Linked DNA regions of Ovis aries. The protein of the gene in region 1 binds, or shares a complex with, the protein of each later gene. Links are inferred from orthologs where the notes say so. Each region holds a gene or a part of one and is shown on either strand. Other genes may lie near its edges. The genes, in order: ZBTB8OS and RTRAF.

The links.
Region 2: ZBTB8OS (region 1) and RTRAF share a complex: the UniProt entries of both Homo sapiens proteins name them as parts of the tRNA-splicing ligase complex. The link is inferred for Ovis aries from reciprocal best matches to the Homo sapiens genes ZBTB8OS and RTRAF.

What each region holds. Positions count from the first base shown.
Region 1 is NC_056055.1:234,985,637-235,000,398, reverse strand, and holds the end of ZBTB8OS (protein archease), read right to left. Parts: intron 8,670-14,762; coding exon 8,645-8,669; intron 8,370-8,644; coding exon 8,248-8,369; intron 8,035-8,247; coding exon 7,952-8,034; intron 6,712-7,951; coding exon 6,659-6,711; intron 5,213-6,658; coding exon 5,176-5,212; intron 3,772-5,175; coding exon 3,685-3,771; 3' UTR 2,956-3,684; downstream 1-2,955. UniProt on the Homo sapiens protein: Component of the tRNA-splicing ligase complex required to facilitate the enzymatic turnover of catalytic subunit RTCB. Together with DDX1, acts by facilitating the guanylylation of RTCB, a key intermediate step in tRNA ligation.
Region 2 is NC_056060.1:43,078,466-43,094,023, forward strand, and holds the start of RTRAF (RNA transcription, translation and transport factor protein), read left to right. Parts: upstream 1-5,818; 5' UTR 5,819-5,923; coding exon 5,924-5,984; intron 5,985-7,734; coding exon 7,735-7,859; intron 7,860-11,949; coding exon 11,950-12,049; intron 12,050-15,558. UniProt on the Homo sapiens protein: RNA-binding protein involved in modulation of mRNA transcription by Polymerase II. Component of the tRNA-splicing ligase complex and is required for tRNA ligation.

The DNA.
Region 1 (14,762 bases):
ACAGTACTAGCCCTCACTTAGCATTACTGTGTCAGGCACTCTCTTGAGCTTTATGTTATCAGTTCAGTTCAGTTCAGTCGCTCAGTCGTGTCCGACTCTTTGCGACCCCATGAACCGCAGCACGCAAGGCCTCCCTGTCCCTCACCAACCCCCGGGGTTGACTCAAACTCATGTCCATTGAGTTGGAGATGCCATCCAGCCATCTCATCCTCTGTCATCCCCTTCTCCTCCTGCCTTCAATCTTTCCCAGCATCAAGGTCTTTTCAAAAGAGTCAGTTCTTCTTTATGTGTATACATTCATTTAATTCTCTCAACAACCCTTCAATAGTTAGTTTGGAAAGTAAAGCACACAGAGTTTCACCAACATGCCCCAAGTTAGACAGTGAGTGGAGGAACCAGCACTTCCACCCCTGTGATTTGGCTCCAGTTTGTGCTGTTAACCACTGCACTCCCAAAATCCTCAAAATAAAAATGTTACCACAGCAGTGTTTAAATTCCAGAGCTCCAAGTATAATTCCAAAATGACTCCCCTTCTTTTTTTTTAATAAATTTTTAATTGGTTTTGGCATACATTGACATGAATCCGCCACGGGTGTATGAGTTCCCAAACATGAAACACCCTTCTCTTCTTTTACAGAATAAGGTTCTTTTAAAAAAATATTTCTTTTTGGCTGTGCTGGGTCTTCACTGCTGAGCAGAATTTTCTCTAGTTGTGGGAAGGAGGGCTGCTCATAAGTTCTGAGTAAGTTTTTTCCAGAAGGAGCTTTCAGAGAGTATCTTTTCCAATTTCCTGATTTTTTAGATGAAGAAACTCAATTCTCAGTCTGTCTGGAATTTCCCAAACCTTCTGAAGCTCAGACTTCAGAAAGGGGCAGAATTCTAGTCTCTAAGGGGCACTTCCCCAACTTCCAGCAGGGTATAAACTATTTTCCCACCCTTTCTTCTTGAACATTCTTTGCCAGAGCCCAAGTGGTAATAGCAAGGTGGAGAGAGAACTGACAAGAGTGGTTGCAGGCACATGTAACCACTTAGCCAAGGCATCAGTGAGAAAAAGTCATCATATCACTACTGTTGCTTTCCTGAAGTAGCTGCCGTCATGTGACACACCACTGTACCATGACAATGGCTGACTAGTAGCAGACCTGCTGCTGCTGCTAAGTCGCTTCAGTCATGCCCGACTCTGTGCGACCCCAGAGACAGCAGCCTGCCAGGCTCCCCCGCCGTCCCTGAGATTCTCCAGGTAAGAACACTGGAGTGGGTTGCCATTTCCTTCTCCAATGCATGAAAGTGAAAAATGAAAGTGAAGTCGCTCAGTCGTGTCCGACTCTAGCGACCCCATGGACTGCAGCTCACCAGGCTCCTCCATCCATGGGATTTCCCAGGCAAGAGTACTGGAGTGGGGTGCCATTGCCTTCTCCAGTAGCAGACCTAGATGGTGTGATTTGGACCTTTTAGGCTAAACGACTGTTCCAGTCGTTCCACGTATCTTCTCTCCCTCAGCTCAGTTGTTTAAAATATATTACTAGATCCCAGACATTTAAAATTGGAAAGAAACTGAGGAATCACTAATGCACACCTTTCATACATAGATGAGGAAATAGGTTCACGGTCAAGCAGGAGAGCAAAGGCTAGGAATCGAAGATTGTGACCTACAGTTCCAGCGTTCTTATAGACATGCTCAAGCAGCTGATCTGTGGTCTCTGCTAAAAGTGACGGCGCTCTGAGAGACTTAGTCCACTGACCACTGAGTAGTAATGTGTATTATGTGTCATCTAGACTAGTGAACACCCACTCCAGCGTTCTTGCCTGGAGAATCCCAAGGACAGAGGAGCCTGGTTGCACAGAGTCGGACACGACTGAAGCGACTTAGCAGCAGCGGCAGCAGACTAGTGAACATGAAACAAGTAAAACTGAATAAGCCTACAAATCTTTTGTTGCTGTTGTTTAGTCGCTAAGTCATGTCCGACCCTTTTGTGACCTCATGGGCTGTAGCCCGCCAGACTCCTCTGGGATTTCCCAGGCAAGAATATTGGAGTGGGTTGCCATTTCCTTCTCCAGGGGATCTTCCCGACCTAGGGATCAAACCCAAATTTCCTGTTTCACCTGCACTGGCAGGCAACTTTTTTTTTAACCACTGAGCCAACTGGGAAGCCCAAATCTTTAAAGCTAAGTAAAGAGGTGTAAGTTCAAAGATCCCTGAACCTTGAGTAGTTAGGAAGGCAGCATGGAAAAGTGACTTGAGCTAGAATGAACTAAGATCCCGAAAGCCACTTGGTGAGGCCGATCAATCAATCAATGAACATACAAAATGTGCCTGAGACTAAGAAAGGTGAAGGAGTGCTACCTCAGCGATCCTTGAAGAGCTAACTATCCAAACCATAGGCTCTTGTCCTTGTCTTTGTGCTAAATCCCCGGAGAAAAATAAGGAGGTGCTCAGACAGAACACGTAGAAAGCTCACAGACCATCTTGTAGATCAAGTTCATGCAATGATATTTGACACCACCCAGTGGTAATCTTTTCTCACTAATGTGAATAAATAGCAACTTCCCTGGTGGCTCAGACGGTAAAGCATCTGTCTACAATGCGGGAGACCCGGGTTCAATCCCTGGGTTGGGAAGATCCCCTGGAGAAGGAAATGGCAATCCACTCCAGGACTATTGCCTGGAAAATCCCACGGACAGAGGAGCCCGGTAGGCTACAGTCCATGGGGTCGCGAAGAGTCGGACACGACTGAGCGCCTTCACTTTCACTTTACAAGGAAGACTACCTCAATCCATGAACAGAGAATGGAATAATACTGCAAGTCAAATGAAAGCAGTTTGATTTTTTTCAAAGTTATCTACTTCGAAAAGTTCAGATCATTTTAAAGCTGTTTTCCTGGCCTCTTATCGTCTTAGAAATGAAGAGCTTAAGGTAATTTTTAAAAACCAAAGAAACTTGAAAAAAAATTCTCCTTTTCTCTAACTGTATAAATATACTGGCTTTAATATAAAATTGTATGTTAGGAAGAAGGGCCCATTTGTATATGCGTCAGGTTTTATCTTACGGGAAAAAGTGTCAGTATATCAGTGCTAAAAAAAAAGTGAAAGTAAATCAGGACTGTTTCTAGAAAAGCCTTCCAATTGTTCAAATATAATTATTTCATCTAAGAAAACCAACTGGAGTACAGGATTGGGCTCTGTCCCATAGCAATCCAAAACACAACCTGTTTTAATGTACATATAGAAAATATATGTGTTAACCACTTTGGAAAAAAAGCAAAATACTGGTTGTAGGATTTCTCAAATTACATTTTCTCCAAGGTGCATTCAGTAAGAGTACACGGGCTTCAGAGTCTCTCAGGCTGCTCTTACATCAATGATCGTCCTTGGGACCAGGCTGGAGGACTTGTGCATTCCGTTGGAAAGGTGTAAGGCACCTGCTGCTACAAAGGGGAATTAATGAAGGAGAAGCCATGCTTGCCACTTAGAGAATTATTTAAAATTTGATTATTTGGGTAACAAAGACCAAGGTTGTACCTTGATTTTTCATTTCTGAAAGTCACATTTTAAGTCAACAATTTCTGTTCTGCAAAACTCCATATATAAATTCTCCATGTAGAGTTTATATCATGGTATCTTGTCAAAAGGAAGAGAAAAAAACAGTTCTTCATAGGAATCTCTCTCTCTCTCTCTTTTGTCATCTTAAATGTCAATGATCACAAAAACTTCTGGCTTCTCTTCATTATAGACCTGCATGGCTGAGTACGTTATTGCTTTGACTTCAGTTCCCTAAAGTTGGGGTTAAAAAAAAAAAGACATTGAAATCAGAACCATTAACTCTAGTAACAATTGGCAGAAAGTAAAACTTTTAATGTTATTCTAAAAAAGTCATATGAAACAATCAGTTATCAAATGATATAGTATTATCCACTGAACCAGTAAAAATGAGAGACACGTGTACACAGGAAAAAGCACTGACCTGACTTAGGAGATGGAGCATACTATAATCCTGGCTTGTTTGCACCTGGACCAGAAGTTGTCTGACCCCTCTGGGCACCAGCCTTTACATTTACCAAATGGGTTGACTCCAAGAACACAAAGCTTTTTTATTGTTTGGGTCAGGGCTCCTTCTTAAGGCTTCCTCTTCTGTACTGTCTAGACTGGGCCCTGGGAACTCAGCCTATTCCCTTCTCTACAGACAAATGCCTACTGTTATCCAACATCTCTATTTAGATATCTAATAGGCATCTCAAACATAATACATTCAAAAGAAAATGCTACTGTAATTTATATTATAAAAATAACTTGTTTTTAATCCACATGCTCCACCTCTACTGGTTTCTGTCCTTAAGTTTCTCTGCCCCGAGGCTCTCTCACGAAGCTTCATTTTATTACACTGAAGAAATGCTGCTGCAGCTGCTGGAAGCTACTACATGATTTCTCAGTCAACTCCAATGAATTTAAGTCTTCTTGGCCTAAACACAGGGGTCAGCAAACTACAAATTAAAGGTCAGATTGGCCTCCCACCTATTTTTGTACAGCTCCACACATAAATGTAAGCCCCAATTGTAAGAATAGCTTTTATATTTCTAAATGGTAGTCGGGGGAGGGGAATGAAAAAAAACACTTTACTGGAACACATTCACATTCATTCATTTAGGTGTTGTCCATGGCTGTTTAGTGCTATATATGAGTAGAATAGTTGCTCTTCTATCGTTATCAGTCCACAAAGCACAAAACATTAGGAAAAAAACACCCTACCCCTATTCAAACAGATTTGACTAGTACACACTGAAGCCAAATACACTGGCAAATACTGAATCTGGAGAAGCACAAAAGAGAACACCTTTTCTTAGGCTTTCTAGTATCCAAAACACTGGATGTTTAGAGAACATCCTATCCAACATCTTCATTACAGGGAAAGATATGAAAGCTCAAAAAGGGAAAGGGACTCTTCAGCCCCAAAACACTCTGTAACAAACCTGACCCTATAGCCCAAGGCAGACTCCTAATCTTCCAAATCAGAAATTCCAGGGTTTTAACATAACATGTCCAGACAGGTCATATTAGTCTGGGAAAAATTTAGGAGTTTATACCAACTTATGAGAACTAGTAAGTTAGCTGTAACATATACTGACTTTTTTACGGTAAGGTCAAATAAACTATTTTTAATGGCTGGATTTTAAAACATACCTGAGGGTGCTTGGACAATGAGAATTCTTCTCCCCACCTTGAGAAGAAAGAGTAAAACATGATTAAGATTTCCAGGATTTAACATTTATTCTCTCTTTCTACGTTTTAAGATAAGCCTTATAAATGTGGTTAAGATACAGACTTCCCAGGTGGCTCAGTGTTAAAGAAACCGGCTGCCAATGCAGGTGATACAGATGTGGGTTCAATCCCTCGGTCAGAAAGATCCCTGGAGGACAAAATGGCAACCCATCCCAGTAATTTTACAAGGAAAATTCCATGGATAGAGGAGCCTGGCAGGCTGCAGACCATGGGATCACAAAGAATCGGACACAACTGAGCACACACGCATAAGATACTAGAAAGCCTAAAGGGATGAAGGGAGAAGGGAGCCATCAATTTCAGTTTGATGGTCAGCAGATACAGCTACTGAACTTGTACGATATCCTTTTCAACAAGGTTGATCATGGCATAGTACAGTGTACATAGGTAGACTCTCAATAACATTGTTTAATGAATACTGGTTCATAATAGAGGAGCATGTTCAAAATTTTCACTGTACTCAGGGCTATAGAACTGATTAAATAATATCTTCCATTGGAGAAAGCAGGTCTGAGCACCATAAAGGCAAAATACAAGATTCCATAATACGATCTGAACTTAAGTTTGTATTTTATGACTTTTCAAAAAATGGCCATGGTATGTACCTAGTAGGCCCTAGAAGGGTACTCAGTCTCCTAGAACTTGAGATGAGTATCCTCTCTCCCTTCAACACTAAAGTAGCTGAAGTTCACAGTAGTAAAAGCAGTAGCAGTATCAGAAAGAGCATAGTTTTAAAACTCTGTTCAACTATTTATTAGTTAATTACCCTTGGACAACTCTGTTTACTTATTCATTAAAAAAAAAAGGAGTAGGAGATAATAAAAGATCTCACTTTACAAAAGAAACGTAAAAAATTCAACATAAAATGGAAAAGATAAGTTTTATATAAAAGTAACCTAAAAGATCATTAGATGACTAAAGAAACTTGGAAAACACTAAATCCAATCAAAGTGCCCTAATCAAGCGTTTGCAAACTCAGGAAGGAAAAGTATAACTTGTTAATAGAAGGAACTGGTTTGAATGGAGTCTAGGTGTGAGGATCTATAAGAAAGGCTACATCAGCATTTCTCATCACCAAGCGAGGTTGTATGCAAATATCTGCGCCATCCATCAATGATATATTTTTTGTGTGTTAAAAATCAACAAATTGGGAATTCTGTTTACCAATTCAAATCACCTGTGTCCTGACAAGTTTCTGGTCCTCCAAAGCTGAGGTGAACCCTTGCTCCTAGGTGGCTCACCAAGCTTAACCTGCAAAGCCCTACAGGGATGCAACTGGTCTTCTGATTTAATGTTTCTATTGTCTTCCTGCTCACTGAGTACACTGAAGACTGTAACTTAACATTTTACATGACCTGTAACTTAAAAGGTTTTCAAAACTTACCCAATTGACCGTATTTTGAAATTTCTTTGGTCGATATTAAGTACTTTGACTTCCTAAAGAAGAAAAAAGTTTTCTTTTAATTTTAATAGAAGTTCATAATAGACCAGCTATTAAAACATGTCAAGGTTATCACTTTTCCAAGATAATAGCATACAACTTCTCTGAAGCAAAGAAAATTACAATGTTAACAACAAACTATGTATTTTAAGAAAATAAGGCTTTTTCTTACCCATTCAAGGGAGGTATTCTTGAAAATGTACAATTTAAAGTATAAGTCATGAGAATTTTTCTGTAAGATACATAGTGGAGGATGACCTAGGATTTCAATCATTCTGGGGTTTTTTTCAGCTCTATGGATTTAGAGGTGATAAAACTTTCCACCTATTTTTATATAATATTATAGACTCTTGAACTCTGTAGGACAAATGACCCAGTTAGAAGAATATATGTAGTGGAGCTGGTAAGGGAGTAAATGGAGGAATTATGGAGCAAGGAAGGCCAGGTGTGTTAGTAACAATAAGGTTGCAGAGGTGTTCCCTTCTGGAGGCTGATGGCAAAAAGTAACCTCCATCTGGCTTTTCCCTTTTCACATTAAGGAAACCAAAAGCACCATTTTTTTTCTGGCTGTACCACACAGCTTGCAGGATCTCAGTTCCCCAGCTAGGCGGCCATCAGCAGTGAGAGTCCTAACCAGCAGACCGCCAGGGAATTCCCTAAAAGCACCAATGGCTCAGGGGTAAAGAATAGCCTGCAATGCTGGAGACAGGTTTGATCCCTGGGTCAGGAAGATCCCCTGAAAAAGGAAATGGCAACCCACTCCAGTACTCTTGCCTGGGAAATCCCATGGACAGAAGAGCCTGGTAGGCTACTTTTTCGAGAAAAAAGTCAAACACCACTGAACAATTAAACAACAATAAGAACATATCAGACCTGCTAAATATCAAATGGGCAAAAGGAACTTATGGACGAACATTTAAAAAGCTCAAACTTGAGAGACATAAAACATGCCGACAGAGAAGAGAGTATGTGCATTCTTCTGACTCAAGATAACAGTGAGTGAGTGGCAAGTGTATGAGATCTAAATGCGAGACGCACATACATAGGCAAACTCCAGTTAACCTAGGGCCTATGGTCACCATAATTTCTGCACGTCATCATCTTGCATATCTGAATGGTTTCATTTTACATCATATATTCTATTTTAAATAGAATGTTCTGTTTTAAATCACTAGTTTTACTCTAAAATATGGACTCAAAATCCATTTGTTCAGTAAAAAATAAAAACTTGCTTACCCGGGGTATGAAGAATTCATCAGCACTGAATTTATAAAGCCACTCATCCAGAAAGTGAAACAGAAGAGACTGTAAGTCATCGCCTACACAGGGTCAGAAAGAACCATAAAGAACGGTATTTAATAATTCTCATCTCTGAAAACTTGTTTGAATTTTACAGTGCAATAAATTTCTTAGGCTCCTTGAAAGAACAAGCTCATAATCAACTTTGTTGTACCTCCTGTAAGTGTATACTGAAATTATATAGCATCTGAACACTTGCATAGCAATTTCTTCCTTGTGAACAAATTGATTACCTTGGGTTTCTACTTCTATTGTTTGCAGGGGCTCCACAGTCCCAGTATCTGTCATGTAACCAAACATGGCCATTGCACATTGTTCAAAAGCTTCCTCCAGAGTGTCTCCCCAAGCATGTAACCTAAAGAAAGGCATTCGTGCCTTGTGTAATATGATTCACTGCAAGACAGAAAACTCGACAGCAAAGTCTAAGTAAAATCAACACTGTAAATGCAAAAGCAAAGGCCTCAATCAATTTAATGACACTGAAACCAGGTGCTTTTGAACCATCATTTTCATGTTCTAAAGAAAACAAAACAGAGGAGAAAAACTAAAACTAGGGACTGCAAGATTAAAAGATTAGTCTTCCTGTGTTAAGCACATGATTTCAAAGGCATAAACTCCAGCTCTACTCACTGGACATCGGCTGTATGATCCAAATCTGAGGGAGAGAGGAAAAAACAATAATAAGTAACTAGACTTGACTTGCAAATCACAAGAAAATGACTCTAGATTATTATTAAGAACATCATTCTTGAAGAACAAGAAAATGTAGGTTGACCATCCACCTTTCACTAACCATTTACACAAAAGTCATTGTTAAGGTTTATTTTTAAAAATTTCTAAGCATTTACAGTTACTATTCTATTAATATTAAATGAATGAACTAATATTAAGTAACAGAATAGTTATATAACATTAGCATATTGATGATACAGGGTTATTTCTTTTAAAGCCAAGATTTATATTTAAATGAATGATGAGAATTCCCTGGCAGTCCAGTAGTTATTAGGCCTCCACACACAGGTTCAATCTCTGGTTGAGGAACTAAGATCACACATGCCCTGCAGCGAGGCCAAAAAACCTAAAGACTAACTAACTAAATAAATGAATGATAGTTTCTGGAAGGCAGCAAGGCCATGGTCTTCTAGGTGATCTCCAAAGTGTGTACTACAGTACACACACTTCTTGTGTGTGTGTGCCCAGTCATGTCAGACTCTGCAATCCCATGGACTGTAGCCTACCAGGCTCCTCTGTCCATGGAACTTTCCAGGCAAGAATACTGGAGTGGGTTGCCATTTCCTACTTCACTAATACATCATAGTTTTTCAATAAACAAATGCCTTTCCTGCTATTAGTTACATTCCCCAACAAAACAAATCAATATCTTTCCTAATATCTACTTGTGTGTGTGTTAGTCCTCAGTCATGTCTGACTCTTTCAGTTCAGTTCAGTCGCTCAGTCGTGTCCAATTCTTTGTGACCCCATGAACTGCAGCATGCCAGGCCTCCCTGTCTATCACCAGCTCCCAGAGTTTACTCGAACCCATGTCCATTGAGTCAGTGATACCATCCAACCATCTCATCGTCTGTCGTCCCCTTCTCCTCCTGCCCTCAATCTTTCTCAGCATCAGGGTCTTTTCAAATGAATCAGCTCTTCGGATCAGGTGGCCAAAGTATTGGAGTTTCAGCTTCAGCATCAGTCCTTCCAATGAACACCCAGGACTGATCTCCTTTAGGATGGACTGGTTGCATCTCCTTGCAGTCCAAGGGACTCTCAAGAGCCTTCTCCAACACCACAGTTCAAAAGCATCAATTCTTTGGTGCTCAGCCCTCTTTATAGTTCAACTCTCACATCCATACACGACCACTGGAAAAACCATAGCCTTGACTAGACGGACCTTTGTTGGCAAAATAATGTCTCTGCCTTTTAATATGCTGTCTAGGTTGGTCATAACTTTCCTTCCAAGGAGCAAGTGTCTTTTAATTTCATGGCTGCAATCACCATCTCCAGTGATTTTGGAGCCCAGAAAATTAAAGTCAGCTATTGTTTCCATTGTTTCCCCATCTATTTCCCATGAAGTGACGGGACCAGATGCCATGATTTTAGTCTGACTCTGCAACCCCATAAACTGTAGCCTGCCAGGCTCCTCTGTTCATGAATGGCCAAAATTCTAGAAACTACGTCATCAAAGATATAAAATTCCAGATTTCCCGTTCTCACCTTTTCATGAACAGCTAGCCAAATCCCAGACAAAACAGGCTTTTATTTTTAACAAGAGTCAAGTTTTATCTTTGTTAATTTCTTGCATTTGAAGGAATCCTCATGATATCCTTGGTCAGTTAAATAGTTTTAAAAAGTAAACTCCACAGTACGTATTGCAAGCTTTTTCCTGATAGTCTCACAGCAACGCCAGGAAGTAACAACTGCGGCTGTGTAATCTGTGGATCTGTTATTTTAGTATTTCAGAGTCTATTCTTCACTCTTAACCCTGACTCCCATCTATTCCTCCTACTTAAGATCATAGGATATTCAAGCTAGAATGAAACCTCAGAGATCATTTAACAGAAATCCTCCAATTACAAGAAGAAACCTGAAATCCTGAGAGACTGTATAACTTGTTTAGGACCATACTGCTGATGAGAGTTGGGACTAGAACTGAGATTTTCTGACTCCCAGTTTAGTGCCCTTTACATCATAACACATCTTCTTCTGGTAACACTCAGGGTTTAAGCTCACCTCTGATTTACTCAAAATACTACTGAAGCCTCAGTACATTTTAGACACTAATGGGCTCAATGACCAGCAGAGATGACAAACAAGTTAAAGGAAAGCAACATTTTAATGCTAGAGAAATGAAAGTATGTGGCCACAAAAGGACATGGCAGAATGTTCACAGCAACTTTACTCCTCCAAATTAAAAACCCAATGTTTGTGAAGAGAATGAATAAATAAACTGAGGATTACTATGCCACACTGCTCAGCAATAAAACAGCATGAACTAGTGATACTGCATTAACAAGAGTCTCAAAAACATCAAGTGAAAGCTGCAGAACTCTCACACACATATCTCCATCCAAACTCCCTGCACTAAGAGACCTGACCAACTTTAGCGTGGTTTCTAGCAGCTTAAGCCTGTGTACCTAGGATCATCATGGCCCCACCGTTACAATGCCTGCCTGAGAAAGCTATACACTGTAGGAGAATTTATCGTTTGTTCCGAAACAACCCCTGACAATAGGTCCTTGACCTCCCTTTCTCAGAGCATTCACTAAAAAGGGCTTACGACTGTGATACTTATCTCTTACAACTCAGAAGTATCTTTCCCATTCCTCTGAAATGTAATCATCAGGAAGAACTTCCAGGCTCCGTGGGAGAGAATTCTAACTTGGTAACTGCCAGCTAGCAAACACTGCTGCTCCAATGACATTTACACTGACCATGCTTTTGTAACTTTTCATTTCTAGTCTCTACTGAAACCCCTGCTCTCCCCCATCTCTCATTCTTCTTTTAAAAAGTCCAATCTCCTCTGCACAAATCCAAAGGGATCTCAGCTCTTTCCCCTGCTGTCCATAATTACTGAATAAAGTCCACTCACCACTTCAATGTCTAACATTTATCAGTGATACTCAGTGAAGACGCCAGATATAAAAGAATGAGTACTATGTGATTCCATTTATACAAAACTCTAAAACAAACAAAAGTAAACTATGGTATATGAAATCACAGGGTGTGAGGAAAGAGGCACACTCATACAACGCTACTGAGAGTATAAATTGGTGACACTTCAACAGACAGTGAGTTCACAATAATTACTGAAGTTTAAAACGCAGGTATCAAAAAGAGTATATATAACTGAATCACTTGACTGTACAGCAGAAATTAACCAACACTGTACATCACCTAGGGGCTTTCCACCTGGTATACTGGTAAAGAATCCATCTGCCAGTGCAGGAGACCCAAGAGATGTGGGTTTGATCCCTGGGTCAGGAAGGTCCCCTGGAGGAGGAAATGGTAACCCACTCCAGTATTCTTGCCTGGAGAATCCCATGGACAGAGGAGCCTAGTGGGCTACATTCCATGGTGTTACAGAATCGGACATGATTCAGCAACTGAGCAAAGCACACACAGTACATCAACTATACTCCAATTTTTAAAAATACTGATAAAATGCAGATACCCTTTACCAAAGTAATGTAACTTTTGGAAATTTATTCTACAGATGCACATGTGCCAAACAATGGATGTACAGGTATTCACTGCTGCATTATTTCTAATAGCAAACGAGTACAAATGTAAATGTCCACCAACTAGAAACTGAGTAAATTAAAGTACATTTTTGCATGTACACATATGAAAATGTTATGACTGGCTGATCTAGAAAGCAAGACCAAGGGGCCTGGGATTAGAGCTGACTTTTCACTGCATACCTGTCATACTTTTTGAATTCTGAATCAAAAGAGAAAAATGATGGGAATACCAGACCACCTTACCTGCCTCCTGAGAAATCTGTATGGAGGTCAAGAAGCAATGGTTAGAATCAGACATGGAACAACAGACTGGTTCAAAATTGGGAGAGGAGTACTTCAAGGCTATACACTGTCACCCTGCTTATTTAACTTATATGCAGAGTACATCATGAGAAATGCCAGGCTGGATGAAGCACAAGCTGGAATTAAGATTGCTGGGAGAAATATCAATAACCTCAGACACCACCCTATGGCAGAAAGAGAAGAGGAACTAAAGAGCCTCTTGAGGAAAGTGAAAGAGTGAAAAAGTTGGCTTAAAACTCAACATTCAAAAAACAAAGATCACAGCACCCTATCCCATCTCTTCATGGCAACTAGATGGGGAAACAATGGAAACAATGACAGACTTTATTTTCTTGGGCTCCAAAATTACTGGAGATGGTGACTACAGCCACGAAATTAAAAGACACTTGCTCCTTAGAAGAAAAGCTATGACAAACCTAGACAGCTTATTAAAAAGCAGAGACATTACTTTGCCAACAAAGGTCCGTCTAGTCAAGGCTATGGTTTTTCCAGTGGTCATATATGGATGTGAGTTGAACTATAAAGAAAGCTGAGCATCGAAGAATTGATGCTTTTGAACTGCGGTGTTGGAGAAGACTCTTGAGAGTCCCTTGGACTGCAAGGAGTTCCAACCAGCCAATCCTAAAGGAAATCAGTCCTGAATGTTCATTGGAAGGGCTGATGCTGAAACTCCAATACTTTGACTAAACTGACTCATTTGAAAAGATCCTGATGCTAGGAAAGATTGAAGGCAGGAGGAGAAGGGGATGACAGAGGATGAGATGGTTGGATGACATTACCAACTTGATTGACATGAGTTTGAGCAAGTTCTGGGAGTTGTTGATGGACAGGGAAGCCTGGTGTGCTGCAGTCCATGAGGCTGCAGAGTTGGAACTGAGTGAGTGACTGAATTGATTGAAGAGAAAAATGAGCTAGGGAGACACGCAGGGTCTAGAAAGTACAGAGCCTAGTATGCTATGATAAATAGTTGTACTCTATACAGAGGACTTTCCCAGGTGGCTCAGTGATAAGAGAATCTGCTTACCAAGCAGGAGACGGTTTTCCAAGACCCGGGCTGGGAAGATCCCCTGGAGAAGGAAATGTCAACCCACTCCAGTATTTTCCCTTGGGAAACCCATGGACAAAGGAGCCTGATGGGCTCTAGTCCATGGGGTCAAAAAAGTTGGACAGGACTTAGCAACTAAACACCAGCATACAGAGAACAATGTGAAATTAATTAAAGAACTTTAGAGGGGAAATAAGAGCCAAATTTGTGCTCCCAAACCACATCCACCTTTAGGGCTAACAATTTAACGTTTATATAGACTAACTTTAGAATCTGCACTATATTTTCACATTTATTATTATCTCATTTTGCCCTCACAGGAAGGAACAGAATGCAAAAAGAGGTTATGTGATTTGCCTAAAGTCACTAAGCTACAAATGGCAAACCAGGTCCTTTTACTAACACAGGATACAAGTAAGACATTAGTAGTCCTCTACTTATAACTTTCTTATCCTCTACCCTAGCCACATTCTAACTACAGGACTGTTGGAGATAGATGAGGATGGGGGTGGTTACACAAAACACTTCAAAACATGGCTCTCTTCACAATGAATACACCAGTAAAACTCCCTCAAAGGTCTGTGTAGACAAAGCTATAGCTTTTCCAGCAGTCTTGTATGGATGTGGGACTCCCCTGCTGGCTCAGACGGTAAAGAACCCGCCTGCAATGTGAGAGACCTGGGTTTGATCTGGGATGGGAAGATCCCCTGGAGGAGGGCATGGCAACCCAGTCCAGAATTCTTGCCTGGAGAATCCCCATGGACAGAGGAACGCGGTGGGCCACAGTCCATGGGGTTGCAAAGGGTCGACAGGACTGAGCGACTATGCACACACACGGACTGATGTGAGCACTGGACCATAAAGGCTGAGCGCGGGACAATTGATGCTTTTGAATTGTGGTGCTGGAACAGGTCTTGGGAGTCCCTTGGCCTGCAAGGAGATCAAACCAGTCAATTCTAAACGACATTAACCCTGAATATTCATTGGAAGGACTATAGTTGGAAGCTGAAGTTCCAATACTTTGGCCACTTGGTGCAAACAGCCAACCCACTGAAAAACACCCTGATGCTTCCTGCTGGCTCAGCTGGTAAAGAATCCACCTGCATTGAGGGAGACCTGGGTTCCATCCTTGAGTTCTGAAGATTTCCTGGAGAAG
Region 2 (15,558 bases), on another chromosome or scaffold:
ATTTATCACCTCCTAAAACATGAAATAATTTACTTATTTATAATCATATAGTTCATCTTCCCTTGCCAGATGGCAGGCTCTCAGAGGGCAGAGGTTTTTGTGTGAAAGTGCCTAAAAGACTTCCGGGCATGCAGGCAAGATTGAAGAAGTTTGTTGAATAATTAAACAGATGGATTAATGACCTATCAACCCCTTGGCCAACTATTAGATTGGGGTTCAGGTCATTTGATTTAAAAAAAATAGTCAATTTCTCCTTCTTGATGTACATAAAGGACTTAATTTTCAGAAATGGAATTGTCCAAGATTTACTTCCTATTGGACACTATAGGCCAAAGGACTCCTTCAAATGCAGGGGGGAAGAAAAGACAAATTTTTGTAAATAAAAAAGTTGAATGCTTATAATCTTCTATACTTCTTTTCCAGGATTAGTTTTAGCCCCTGCTCGAGTCTGGTGGTTCCTGCAGCATTCTGTGTGTCTGAATCCTCTTCCAACCTTCTCACACCTGGGGGTGATGACCAGGGAGTTTCAGGTGGCTGATAACTTTGGGCCTGAAATAGAGAGACATGGTCAGGAGCAAAAAACTTAGTGTTTTGCACTAAGGAGTCAATTCCAAAAAGCAAAATTTAAAAGCTGCTTATCCCCACTCTTTAAAGAAATGCACTATCTGTAGTTGCATTAAGCATTCCTTTATTATTTTCCCTTTGTTTATGGGTTCTGGTCATTTTTCTTAATTTTTGGCTGGTACCTCATTAATTATACAATTAGTATAAACCACAGTGTGTGACTAGGGCCACAGCTCTGATCAAATTTTGTTTGAGGCAAAACACTTGGAGGTGATTTTCCTGATTTATTCAGTAAACATCTTATTTGGAAAATATAGATTTTTTCACAGTTCCTCCTTAAAGCTGTATTCTGACCTGATAGCACGCTTTGCACTTCTCAAAATGTATCACTTTATAACTGTAGATCATAAGCACTTATTTACATGCATATTTTTGCTTTTATACTTGAACTTCCATGTGTAGAGTCTTCTCTTGTGTTGTTGGAAGAGGGTGTTTGCTATGACCAGTGCATTTTCTTGGCAAAACTCTATTAGTCTTTGCCCTGCTTCATTCCGCATTCCAAGGCCAAATTTGCCTGTTACTCCAGGTGTTTCTTGACTTCCTACTTTTGCATTCCAGTCCCCTATAATGAAAAGGACATCTTTTTTGGGTGTTAGTTCTAAAAGGTCTTGTAGGTCTTCATAAAACTGTTCAACTTCAGTTTCTTCAGTGTTACCGGTTGGGGCATAGACTTGGATAACTGTGATATTGAATGGTTTGCCTTGGAGACGAACAGAGATCATTCTGTCGTTTTTGAGACTGCATCCAAGTACTGCATTTCAGACTCTTTTGTTGACCATGATGGCTACTCCATTTCTTCTGAGGGATTCCTGCCCGCAGTAGTAGATATAATGGTCACCTGAGTTAAATTCACCCATTCCAGTCCATTTGAGTTCACTGATTCCTAGAATGTCGATGTTCACCCTTTCCATCTCTTGTTTGACCACTTCCAATTTGCCTTGATTCATGGACCTGACATTCCAGGTTCCTATGCAATATTGCTCTTTACAGCATCGGATCTTGCTTCTATCACTAGTCACATCCACAACTGGGTATTGTTTTGGCTTTGGCTCCATCCCTTCATTCTTTCTGGAGTTATTTCTCCACTGATCTCCAGTAGCATATTGGGTACCTAATGACCTGGGGAGTTCCTCTTTTGGTATCCTATCATTTTGCCTTTTCATACTGTTCATAGGGTTCTCAAGGCAAGAATACTGAAGTGGCTTGTCATTCCCTTCTCCAGTGGACCACATTCTGTCAACACCGAAATCAGATTGATTATATTCTTTGCAGTCAAAGATGGAGAAGCTCTATACAGTCAACAAAAACAAGACCAGGAGCTGACTGTGGCTCAGATCATGAACTCCTTATTACCAAATTCAGACTCAAATTGAAGAAAGTAGGGAAAACCGCTAAACCATTCAGGTATGACCTAAATCAAATCCCTTATGATTATACAGTGGAAATGAGGAATAGATTTAAGGGCCTAGATCTGATAGATAGAGTGCCTGGTGAACTATGGAATGAGGTTCGTGACATTGTACAGGAGACAGGGATCAAGACCATCCCCATGGAAAAGAAATGCAAAAAAACAAAATGGCTGTCTGGGGAGCCCTTACAAATAGCTGTGAAAAGAAGAGAGGTGAAAAGCAAAGGAGAAAAGCAAAGATATAAGCATCTAAATGCAGAGTTCCAAAGAATAGCAAGAAGAGATAAGAAAGCCTTCTTCAGTGATCAATGCAAAGACATAGAGGAGAACAACAGAATGGGAAAGACTAGAGATCTCTTCAAGGAAATTAGAGATCCCAAGGGAACATTTCATGCAAAGATGGGCTCGATAAAGACAGAAATGGTATGGACCTTACAAAAGCAGAAGATATTAAGAAGAGGTGGCAAGAATACACAGAAGAACTGTACAAAAAAGATCTTCACGACCCAGACAATCATGATGATGTGATCACTAATCTAGAGCCAGACATCTTGAAAAGTGAAGTCAAGTGGGCCTTAGAAAGCATCACTACAAACAAAGCTAGTGGAGGTGATGGAATTCCAGTTGAGCTGTTTCAAATCCTGAAAGATGATGCTGTGAAAGTGCTGCACTCAATATGCCAGCAAATTTGGAAAACTCAGCAGTGGCCACAGGACTGGAAAAGATCAGTTTTCATTCCAATCCCAAAGAAAGGCAATGCCAAGGAATGCTCAAACTACTGCACAATTGCACTCATCTCACATGCTAGTAAAGTAATGCTCAAAATTCTCCAAGGCAGGCTTCAGCAATACGTGAACCGTGAACTCTCTGATGTTCAAGCTGGTTTTAGAAAAGGCAGAGGAACCAGAGATCAAATTGCCAACATCCGCTGGATCATGGAAAAAGCAAGAGAGTTCCAGAAAAACATCTATTTCTGCTTTATTGACTATGCCAAAGCCTTTGACTGTGTGGATCACAATAAACTGTGGAAAATTCTGAAAGAGAAGGGAATACCAGACCACCTAACCTGCCTCTTAAGAAACCTCTATGCAGGTCAGGAAACAACAGTTAGAACTGGACATGGAACAACAGACTGGTTCCAAATAGGAAAAGGAGTACGTCAAGGCTGTATATTGTCACCCTGCTTATTTAACTTATATGCAGAGTACATCATGAGAAACTCTGGACTGGAAGAAACACAAGCTGGGATCAAGATTGCCGGGAGAAATATCAATAACCTCACATATGCAGATGACACCACTCTTATGGCAGAAAGTGAAGAGGAGCTAAAAAGCCTCTTGATGAAAGTGAAAGAGGAGAGTGAAGAAGTTGGCTTAAAGCATTCAGAAAATGAAGATCATGGCATCCGGTCCCGTCACTTCATGGGAAATAGATGGGAAACAGTGGAAACAGTGTCAGACTTTATTTTTTTGGGCTCCAAAATCACTGCAGATGGTGACTGCAGCCATGAAATTAAAAGACACTTACTCCTTGGAAGAAAAGTTATGACCAACCTAGATAGCATATTCAAAAGCAGAGACATTACTTTGCCAACAAAGGTCCATCTAGTCAAGGCTATGGTTTTTCCAGTGGTCATGTATGGATGTGAGAGTTGGACTCTGAAGAAGGCTGAGCGCCGAAGAATTGATGCTTTTGAACTGTGGTGTTGGAGAAGACTCTTGAGAGTCCCTTGGACTGCAAGGAGATCAACCCTGGGGTTTCTTTGGAAGGAATAATGATAAAGCTGAAGCTCCAGTACTTTGGCTACCTCACGCGAAGAGTTGACTCATTGGAAAAGACTCTGATGCTGGGAGGGATTGGGGGCAGGAGGAGAAGGGGACGACAGAGGATGAGATGGCTGGATGGCATCACGGACTCGATGGACGTGAGTCTGAGTGAACTCTGGGAGAATGTGATGGACAGGGAGGCCTGGCATGCTGCGATTCACGGGGTCGCAAAGAGTTGGACATGACTGAGTGATTGAACTGAACTGAACTGAACTTGAACTTCCTGAAAATATCTAACTCATTTGTAGGCCCCACAAATGCTAACACAGTGTTTAATTATAATCTGTTGAAATGAAATTTATATAATTGGCTTACCCCCCAAGAACTTCAATAGTTCCCAGTAGCATGGCATGAAAGATCCTTCTTGCTCAGGTCCTTGCCTCTGTCCAAGTCTCATCAGCTGTCATTCTGTCCTACCCTCCAGCTCCCATAAGTTCTAGCCCCCCTGGGCCATGCCTTGCCTTTGTATATCCTCTTCCCTCAAGACAAGTTACCCTTTTGACTGCATGGTGAACTTACCACCTTCAAGTCATAATTTAAGCTTGTTTGTCTGTTTATTGCTTTTCTTCCCTCTAGGGCTTATAAACTTCATAAAAGTAGAGGCTTGGTCTCTCTGGCTCACTGTTGTCTGTCCAGTATCTGAAAGCAGATGGGGACTGAATCAGGAAGGATCTTAAATATGATAAGGAGTTTTGATGATTGCTAGAAGGCAATGAGGACCCACTGAAAGATACTAAGCATTAAACTGTTATGGACAGGTTTTTGTTTTAGGAGGTTTTTATTTTACAAAATCACTATCATTGCTGTGTGGGGGAGTGGGCTGGAGAAGGCAAAACTGGCTCTAAGAAATCAGATAATTAGAGCAAGCAAAAATTATGAATCCCTGATTTGAGGTAGCAACAGTGAGGTTGGGAAGAGGTGAGGAATTTGAGAGGCAGAACAGCAGGAATCAAGGAGCTACTGGATGTTGTAACTGCAGTCAGAGGGAGTAAAGGGTAAGTCCAGGTTTCTGGCTTCAAAATTTCGTGGTTGCTAGACATGTCAGGAACTATCACGTAGTATTACAGTTGTATGTTTATCTATGGACCACTCCTAACAAGTCATGTGTATGCATACTCAGTCGCTTCAGTCGTGTCCGACTCTTTGCGACCCTACAGACTGTAGCCCGCCAGTGCATGGAATTTTCCAGGCAAGAATACTGGAGTGGGTTGCCATTTTCTTCTTCAGGGGATCTTCCCAACCCAGGGATCAAACCCAGGTCTCTTGCATTGGCAGGCGGGTTCTTCTACCACTAGCGCCACCTGGGAAGCCGAAGGAGTCATAAAGTGGTGGTTTGAGTGAGTGAAGTCACTCAGTCGTGTCCGACTCTTTGTGACCCAGTGGTCTGTAGCCTACCAGGCTCCTCCATCCATGGGATTCTCCAGGCAAGAATACTGGAGTGGGTTGCCATTTCCTTCTCCAGGGGATCTTCCCGACCCAGGAATCGAAGCCAGGTCTCCCACATTGCAGGCAGATTCTTTCCCGACTGAGCCAGGAGGGAAGGCCCAGTCATAAACGGACCTTGCTAAAAGTCTTTGTATTAGCCTTGTTAGAAGAGCACCTATTATGTAGGAGGCATATAATTAAATGAATGAATGAATGAATACACTGAAAATACTAAACAGTTTGTATGGTCCAATAAGAGGTATGGCCCATAGCAGAAATTCTAAGGATACTGTTCTTTGCGTGCTGTTATCAAGACCGCGAAGAAAGCAAGCGGTAACTATGTTTCTCAGTTGCTCTCTGCCTATTGTACAACTAGAAAGCTGACAATAAAGTTTATTTAAGCGTCGACGTGCCCCGACGTGGCCCCGCCTCCCCAGCCAGAGCCGCGATTGGTGGGCATTGTCCAGAGGCTGCCGTTCCTAAGCCACGATTGGCTAAGGCCGCCGTCATTTCGGAGCTCCCGGTGCCCGCCCGCCTTCTCGTCGCGTCACCCGTGTCTGCGCCTCCTGCTTCTCCTTGCCTTGCCTCGCCTCGCCTCTCCCGGCCGCATCCCGGGGGACCGGAGCGAGCAGCGGGGACCATGTTCCGACGCAAGTTGACGGCCCTTGACTACCACAACCCTGCCGGCTTCAACTGCAAAGGTGAGGCGGCGGCCCCGGGCCCGCAGCGCGTCCGTGACCGGCCGGCCGCCGCTTTCTCAGCGCCGGCTCCTGGGCTCTCCACCCGGACCGTCCGCGGCCTTGTCTCCCCGGCGCCCCTCTCCTCTTGGCCCCGAATACCTCTGCTTTCTCCCATCCTTCCTTCTCCGCTACCCACTCTTGCCTCGGCATCGCCACTTTCTGCACTTGCTAAACTCCAGACACCACCCCCACAGCCCTCGCCCGCGCCCTCAGCACTCTAGAAGGAAAGTCTTCGCTTTTTAACTTAGCCCTTCAGCCCCGTGTTTCACGGGTGATTGGGCGATACCCTGAGCACCTGCTGGGGTCGGCACAGTGCTGGAATTCGAAGAGAAAAACCGAGTAACTTGAAGACTCGTTCAGGGAACTAAGGAGGGGAGGGATTAGGAATAAGGGCAGTTAGAACCCATCCAGTAGTTTGAGCCCAAGACAAAAATGAAGTCCAAGACAGTGTTGGGGTGAGCGCGTGTATTAACGAGCTAATTACAGTGTGGGGGTTGTGGGGGGGGGGAGTTAATAGATGAGCGGGGCGGTTGAATTGTAAATACAAAGGTGTTTGGGATTTCACAGCTTGAAACTGTAGAAAGTATTAAGATTGCTACCCACTGCTACTCACCTGTCGCCCACGACTACTTATTTTCTTCCAGAATTCTTGGCCTGTGGTAGATTAAGTTTGAAAGGGATCACGTAACACCTGGGATGTTAAGACCATTGTGTATTCTCAAGACTTGGGGAAGCTGGAATTTGAACTCAAGCTTGAACTTGAAAATTGAAGATGATTTCCAAGCAGGATGACAGTGTTTTGTCATCTCCTGTAGAAGCATGTCATCTTACAGAATCTTGTTTTTCTGCTTTGCCTTTTATTTAACAAAAAAGGTTCAGTAGGAATAGAGCTTAGATATGGTTTTGAAACTTTGAGCCTCAACTTTTTCACTGGTAAAATGGGGATATTACTTACCTCAAAAGCATATGGAAGGATTAAATGAAACCACATGCACACTATTTCATGAATGTGTTTAATGTCCTTAATAGCAAATGACAGTGATAGTCGGTATCCTTGTTGTGATCGCCATTTAATTTCTTGTACTTTATTGTTGCTATTAATTTAACCTTGCACAGTCCATTCTCCCCCTTTTCCTCACAGGAACTGAAATAATAACTGACACTTAAGTAGCAAAATTGTGTGCCAGGCACTGTTTTTATTGTTATTTTATTAAATCTTTCATAACAAGCCTATGAGGTAAGTCCCCATTTTGTAACTCAAGAATCTGAGGCACAGAAAATTTAATTAGCCCAGGTTCACACAACCACTAAATTTCTGGAGCCAGAATTTGAATTTGGGCCAGAATATGAACAGAAGTTAATTCAAAGTCTGTACATTCAACTCCTACTTCAAGCAGCTCAAGTAATTTATGATTTTGCAGTTTAAAAAAAAAATTCCACAAGACTGTTTGTGGAGAAGGAAGTGTTTTACCTAGTGCTTCTCATGGGCTTCCCTTGTGGCTCAGCTGGGAAGGAATCTGCTTACAATGCGGGGAACCCTGGGTTCGATCCTTGGGTTGGGAAGATCTCCTGGAAAAGGGAAAGGCTACCTCTTCCAGTATTCTGACCTGGAGAATTCCGTGGACTGTATATAGTTCATGGGGAGGCAAAGAGTCAGACACGACTGAGCAGCTTTCACTTTCTTGTGATTTCTATGGTGTTTTTATTACAGATGAAACAGAATTTAGAAACTTCATTGTTTGGCTTGAAGACCAGAAAATCAGACACTATAAAATTGAAGACAGAGGTAACTTAAGAAACATCCACAGCAGTGACTGGCCCAAGTTCTTTGAACAGGTAATGAATTAGAAAGTAAAATATACCAAGAGCTTGTCTATGAAGACAGCTTTTAAAATAATATAATTTTTCTTTTAAAATAATATAGCTGAATAAAATGGATGTTTTATTTGCAGGGCAGGAAGAGAGATGCAGACTTAAAAAACACTTGAATACAGCAGGGGAAAGAGAGGGTGGGACAGACTGGAAGATTAGGATTGATGTATATACACTGCCATGTGTAAAGTAGATACTGGGAAGTCAGTGTATATAGTGCAGGGAGCTCAGCTCGGTGCTCTGTGATGACCTAGATGGGGGATGAGTGGAATGGGGGGTCGGGTAGGAGGGAGGTCTAAGAGGGAGGAGATACACACACATACACAGGCATAAGTAAGTCATTGACAGCAGAAACTAACACAACATTGTAAAGCAATTATACTCCAAACAATAATAATAATAATAATCAGTGTTAGAAAAGCTTGATTTCAGGGATGGAATTTTTTTTTTTTAAGCATATTCTCTCTTCCTACCAAGCATTCAGTATTAGATAGAAATAGTATGGTGAACCATCAGGCATGAGGGCGGGGGCAGGGGTATAGGGGATAAAGAGTTTGATCTTGATGGAACTAGGGAGCTCTCACAGTTTTAGGTGATATGACTGGACTAGTGTTGCCACTCCTCAGCTTTCCCAACCAATCCCTGGCTTCTCGAAACTGTCAGCATTAAGGTAATGTATCTGGAGAGCAGGCCTTTATCCCCAGTACTTAGATAAGTGCCTGACATTCAACAGAAGGATCTGTTTCTTTCATGAAAATATATATTTATAAGTGTGTATTTGTATACATATATGTTCTGAATATAAATGAGTGATTGATATGTCAGTATTCATTTCTGCATTTTCCCTATAGCAAAATTTATTCAAATCTTCTAGGGCCCTGTACCTGACTAGCAGGCTGCCCATTGAAAACAAGCTTTATAAACTATTAACTAATAAAAGTAATGGCACAGTTAGACACTCAAAAGAAATAGTGTAGTCCAAAAAACAAAGAGACTTCTTAATTAAACAGTGATACATATTATATAAATAGTAAAAATGGCCAAAATAAGATTTTTTACATTACATTAAAATGTAGCAGAAATAGTATTATATTAAAATAAGACATTATTAACATGATTGTAAACTAAGGTTCTCTTGTGTTTTCTTATATTTAATATACACAGTTCTCCTTTGTTGTGTACTATAGAAATAATACTTTTTAAAAAATGGTATTATCTTATTTTTGTGGGTGGAATAACTTTTTCATTGACCTAGTTTAATTTTAGTAACATTTTTGCAGAAAACAGTTTTTTTCAAATTAGAATAAAAATTACATTTTACAGTGTCATTATATTAAACATTTTATCAGCTCTGTTACTTTGATGAGATCTTTTCCTTTAAGAATTTGAAAATGATGATGTATGGCAAAACCAATACATACTGTAAAGTAATAACCTCCAATTAAAATAAATAAATTTATATTTTTTAAAAAAATTTGAAAATGATTTAATTTTTCATTGACTGGAGCAGAGTGTTTAGGTAGCTAACTTTCTCCTTTTGTGGACTAGGGAACTATGTAAGTTACATACTATCTCTGTGACAGTGAGTAAGTTTATTAACCTTTCTGTGGCTCTAGATTTTTATCAATAAATGGGGATAACAGTGGTATCTTAGCTCAGGAGTGGCATATTGTTAATGAAATATACCTTCAGCCTGTCACAGAGGTGCCTGGCCCATCGCAAGTGCTATATGTTTGTTGATATTCCTGCTTCTGCTACTAATACTGGTACCACTAGATCATTTTCCTTTACCCTTCAAAACTATATTTTGAAATTTTTGACAGACTTGTTAAGACTTTGAAATACATTATTAGAATTTTATATTTGCTTTTATCACATTTTACTTACTGGTCTACTTGTGTACAAGACGATACAGAGTTCCACATGTAGGAGGGTGTTGAAGAATAATAAACTTTCCAATGAAAAAGACCCAGAAATGACAGTAAAGTAGTATGACCTAAAGATAAATATATTGGAACTCTCTTTGGAATGATGATGTCATTGCTTAAAGCATATTTAGAACTTCTTTTGGAATTACTTTTAGATCAAGAGACTTATTTTGAATATTGGCAGTTTTTTTATGCTTTGAAGGTGGGTTTGCTTTTTGTATCATGACTAAATCTTGTGAATGAGGTGCCTTTTTTTTTTTTATAGAAGCAGGTGAATAACATTTTTGGTTAGAAAATAAGTTATGGTTAAAAAGTGCTGATTCATTAGGTATCCACCAAAGGATTTCCAGAAGGTTTGAGTTATAGCATTGTTGTGGGATTAGATTTTAAGCTCCTGAGATATTTACTTTAAGGACATGCTCATTTGAATATATTGCTTCTGATGTTTATTCAAAACACCAGTGTGTCACATAGCTTACTCTGTTGGACGCGTTCCAAAATATGAAAGCTAAGGTTTAGATAATAATTGGGTTTTGCACTCTCAGACATAAATCACAGCAGGATCCTCTATGATCCACCTCCCAGAATTCTGGAAATAAAAGCAAAAATAAACAAATGGGATCTAATTAAAATCGAAAGCTTCTGCACAACAAAGGAAAATATAAGCAAGGTGAAAAAACAGCCTTCTGAATGGGAGAAAATAATAGCAAATGAAGCAACTGACAAACAACTAATCTCAAAAATATACAAGCAACTTATGCAGCTCAACTCCAGAAAAATAAACGACCCAATCAAAAAATGGGCCAAAGAACTAAATAGACATTTCTCCAAAGAAGACATACGGATGGCTAACAAACACATGAAAAGATGCTCAACATCACTCATTATTAGAGAAATGCAAATCAAAACCATAATGAGGTGCCACTTCACACCAGTCAGAATGGCTGCGATCCAAAAATCTGCAAGCAATAAATGCTGGAGAGGGTGTGGAGAAAAGGGAACCCTCCTACACTGTTGGTGGGAATGCAAACTAGTACAGCCACTATGGAGAACAGTGTGGAGATTCCTTAAAAAATTGCAAATAGAACTACCTTATGACCCAGCAATCCCACTTCTGGGCATACACACCGAGGAAACCAGAATTGAAAGAGACACATGTACCCCAATGTTCATCGCAGCACTGTTTATAATAGCCAGCACATGGAAACAACCTAGATGTCCATCAGCAGATGAATGGATAAGAAAGCTGTGGTACATATACACAATGGAGTATTACTCAGCCGTTAAAAAGAATTCATTTGAATCAGTTCTGATGAGATGGATGAAACTGGAGCCGATTATACAGAGTGAAGTAAGCCAGAAAGAAAAACACCAATACAGTATACTAACACATATATATGGAATTTAGGAAGATGGCAATGACGACCCTGTATGCAAGACAGGGAAAGAGACACAGATGTGTATAACGGACTTTTGGACTCAGAGGGAGAGGGAGAGGGTGGGATGATTTGGGAGAATGACATTCTAACATGTATACTATCATGTGAATTGAATCGCCAGTCTATGTCTGACGCAGGATGCAGCATGCTTGGGGCTGGTGCATGGGGATGACCCAGAAAGATGTTATGGGGAGGGAGGTGGGAGGGGGGTTCATGTTTGGGAATGCATGTAAGAATTAAAGATTTTAAAATTTAAAAAATAAAAACTAAAAAAAAAAAAAAAAATTGGGTTTTGTTTTTTGATACATATTTTTATTTAACTACTCTGTGTATTGAGACCTAGAATCATATGGTTTAGATTCAGGTCCCTGATTTCAGTTGTGTAACTGTCAGGAAGTGTTGACCTATAGGCTTTGGTTTTCTCATCTACAAAATGAAGTTATCGTAGATCAGTGATACCCTGTCTGCAATCTGCAAAAGTAAAACTTTCATAAACCATGATGGAAGTACTTAATTTTTTTCCTAAGTAGTATATGCTTAAATGGGTTATATAATTGCATCAAAGGTTTAGTAATATAAATGTTGCAAGAAATTCTTAAGAGATACAAACTCAGGTCTCTTAATTCTACCGTGTTTTATTTTGTGACTTTATAGTAACAATGAAGCAATTTTCTTTTTCCTTCACAGTATCTCAGAGATGTTAACTGTCCTTTCAAGATTCAAGATCGACAGGAAGCAATTGACTGGCTTCTTGGCTTAGCTGTTAGACTTGAGTATGGAGATAATGGTATGTTTTGTGGGGAATATATTGTTTCAGAGAGAAAGGGTGGGAAAGGGGGTTAAAAATGTAGGGAACTTGCCCGTTTGTCTTAGATTGTTTTACCTTTGATTCATTTTAAGTTTTGTACATCCTCATCTCACTTTGCAGTATCTGATTAAAATTTTACTTTTTGTTTGTAGTCATTCTGGATTTTCTCTTTTAGAATTTGAAGGTGATGTCCTCTCACAAAGTCACATCACTTCAGTTAATTTGCCGGCTCGGCACAGTCTGGACCTTAGCCTTCAAGTTCACTTTTTGCTACTGTCCCAGAATTAATAGGATTTCAAGTCTTGGTTGCAGCAGCCAGTTTCACTAGAGACTGAAATATACATCTAATGCAGATATGCACAATAAGCCAAAATATATTTATTATTCATGTTTAACATTATTTTATTACAGATACTGATATCATTGGAAGATTTTGAATATTAATACTTATTGTGAAAATAGTTTTCCAATAAACCATTTTCTCTCATTAGGCCATTTCATTTTGAAAGGCCTGTTAACATCTAAATGTAAGATCCGATTATCTTATTTTATCTCCATCTTCTGCATTTATGTTGTTCTCTTTCTTGCGACTATCAGTTCCAGTCTTAATCATTTGCTTTTGAAGCCTTTTTAATGCCTTTTGTTGTTTAGTCTTTAAGTCATGTCTGACTCTTTGGGAATCCATGGACTGTAGCCTACCAGGCTCCTCTGTCCATGGAATTTCCTAGGCAAGAATCCTGGAGTAGGTTGCGAGAAATGCTCCAGATTTGGTTTCAGCGTCTTTGGCCCTCTTTTCTTCCCATCCATCTTTTCCTTTGTCTGCTGTATCTTTCATTCTGCATCTCCACTGCTGTCACCCTAATTCTAGCTCTTGTCCCTTTCTCCTGAGATTATCGTAACACCTTTCATAGTAGTCTCCCATCTGTGTCACCCTCTGTTTTCATCCACATAGCCCCCAGCAAGCTAATTTTTTAAACATAAATGTTTTAGGATGCTACACTTTGTCTCCAAAGAATAGTTCCTTTTATATGTTCACAAACACCATTGCTTTCCCATTTTCTACAGAAGGAATTCCAGGCTCCTTAGCATGATATTCAAAGCCTTTAAACTAGTATTCATATACTTGCCACCCCAGCCAAACTGCAGTAATGCTGTTTCCTCTTTCCATCTCCTTTTTTCCCCCTTCTTTCTTTGCTTTCACTTTTCCTTTGGCTAATATGCCATTTCAGTCTGTCTGTCCTTGTAAGATCCAGCTCAAATGCCAGCTAGCAGCAATGATACTTACTTCTTAACTTTCATAACTTTTACCTCAATACCTTTTTAGATCATTTTCACTTTCCATTTTGCTCGTCTTACTGGCCTCACTAAATTGTAAGCTGATACTCAGCCTTGTTTTCTACATGGTACCTCTGTGAATTTCGTGTTGCTGCTGTAACATATTGCCATGAACTCAGTGATTTAAAAGACAGTATCTTACAGTTTTGGAGGTCAGAAGTCCAACACCTGTATCAGGACTAAAGTCAGTTTGTCGACAGGGCTGGTTTGTTTTGGAGGCTCTAGGGGAGGATTCATTTCTTTGTCTTTTCCGTCTTCCGGAGGCTGCCTGCTTTCTGCTCCCTTTGTCTTCGAGTCTAGCTGCATAGCAAGTTCTAATCTCTGTAATTCTGCTTTCATTGTCACCTCTTCTCTGACCTTCCTGCCTCCCTCTTCTAAGGATGCTGTGATTTCATCGTGCCCACCTAGATAATCCAGGGTAATCCGCCACCCCCAGTTTCAAGGTCCTTAATTCAGTCACACCCACACAGTCCTTTCTGCCACGTAAGATACCATATTCATAACTTCTAGGGATTGCAGTATGGCCGTCTTTTGTGGGGAGGGAGCAGTCATGATTCTCTCTGCCACAGTGCCTGGTGTAATTTCTTGTGTACAATAGATGTGCTTATCAATTTTAATAAATCCTTGGTAAGTGCAGTATATTAACGTAAGTACAGGTATTTCTCAGTGACAGCATGGTTTCTTTTAATGTGTAAAAAAGCTGAGTTTGTATCTGAAACACTGCCCCTTATCAGTAGGGGGCACTGTTGCTCTCTTATGGCTTTACGTTGGTGAGTTCATTCTTCTTGACTTTTAAGTTATTTAAAATTTTTATTTTTGATAAATTATGAATTTTTATTATTTATGCCATAATATTTTGTAAAGCCTTTAGCTTGCTTGTCAATTAAGGTGGTTAAAAGCTAACTTAAGTTCTTCTAACTTTTTTTGATAATTTAAAATTTACAGATATGTTGCAGGAATAATAAAAAGAATTATTACATACTCAAATTCTGCAGGCGTTATTAACATTTTACTTCATTTGCCTTATCCTTTTCTGTGTATTCACATACTCCTAATTTTTTTCTAAACCATCTGACACTAAATTGTAGATGATTTCTCTTTTAAGTACTTAAATGCACATTTCCTAAAAGAAAAAGTCATTGTCTTACATAGCTGCAGTATGCTTATCATAATCAGATTAACTTTGATTCTCTGCTGTTGTCTGTAGGTATTACTCACATTTCAGTGTTTGTCTCAGTAATGTTCTCTACGGCAAAAACAAGCGAATAAAAACCTCCAGAGCAATCCTGGATGGTGTGTTTTGTTCATTCTCGTTCATCTCTTGTGTTCATTCTCCTGCACTCCGGAACGATTTACTCAGTCTTTGTGCTTTAGGACAGTGACGTTTATTTTGTAGAATGTCCTTCAGTTTGGGTGTGTCTGATGGTTCCTCGTGGTTGGGTTGAGAGTTTGTAGTTTTATTAAGAATAATACAAGTTATGTTGCATTCTTGTTAAGTACCTCATATTAGGATGCATGTGTTAGTGATATACCTAAATGTTAGTCATTTTGCTGATCACTTCGGTAAACTTTCTTCAGTGTAAAGTTACTGTTTTCCCCTTTGCGATAAATATGTGTCTTATTTTTTTCTTTTTGACTGCACCTCACAGGATGCAAGACCTTGGTTCATCAAACCCCATGCCCTCTGCGGTGGAAGACCAGAGGCCTAGTCACTGAAATTCCTTAGATACATATCTTGGAAAAGAGATACTTTGAGATGATTTCTCTGTGCTTTTCTTCCTTAAACCTTAGCTTTAGTATCCATTTGATGATTCTGGCCTGAGTCAATTATTATTGATTATGATGGCCAGAAAGTGTTTTTCTAATTCCATCATTCTCCATTTTTTTTGGCTTTCCACTGAAAGGCCTTTAAGAGCAGTTTCCTTCTTACCAATGGATGTTTTTATTCAAATCAGTATAGATATGTGAATTCTTATTTTACTCAGTGGGTTTTAATCCTTATTTGTCATCATGTATTTAAATGTTTGTTCCAGATTTGGCTAGTGGGGACTCCTTTCAGCTAATTTCTATCTGACTTAAATTTTAATGCTTTTATTTTCCCTTTTTTTTTTTTTAAGCAAATCATAAAAGCACTGTAGCCAAAGATGTCTTTG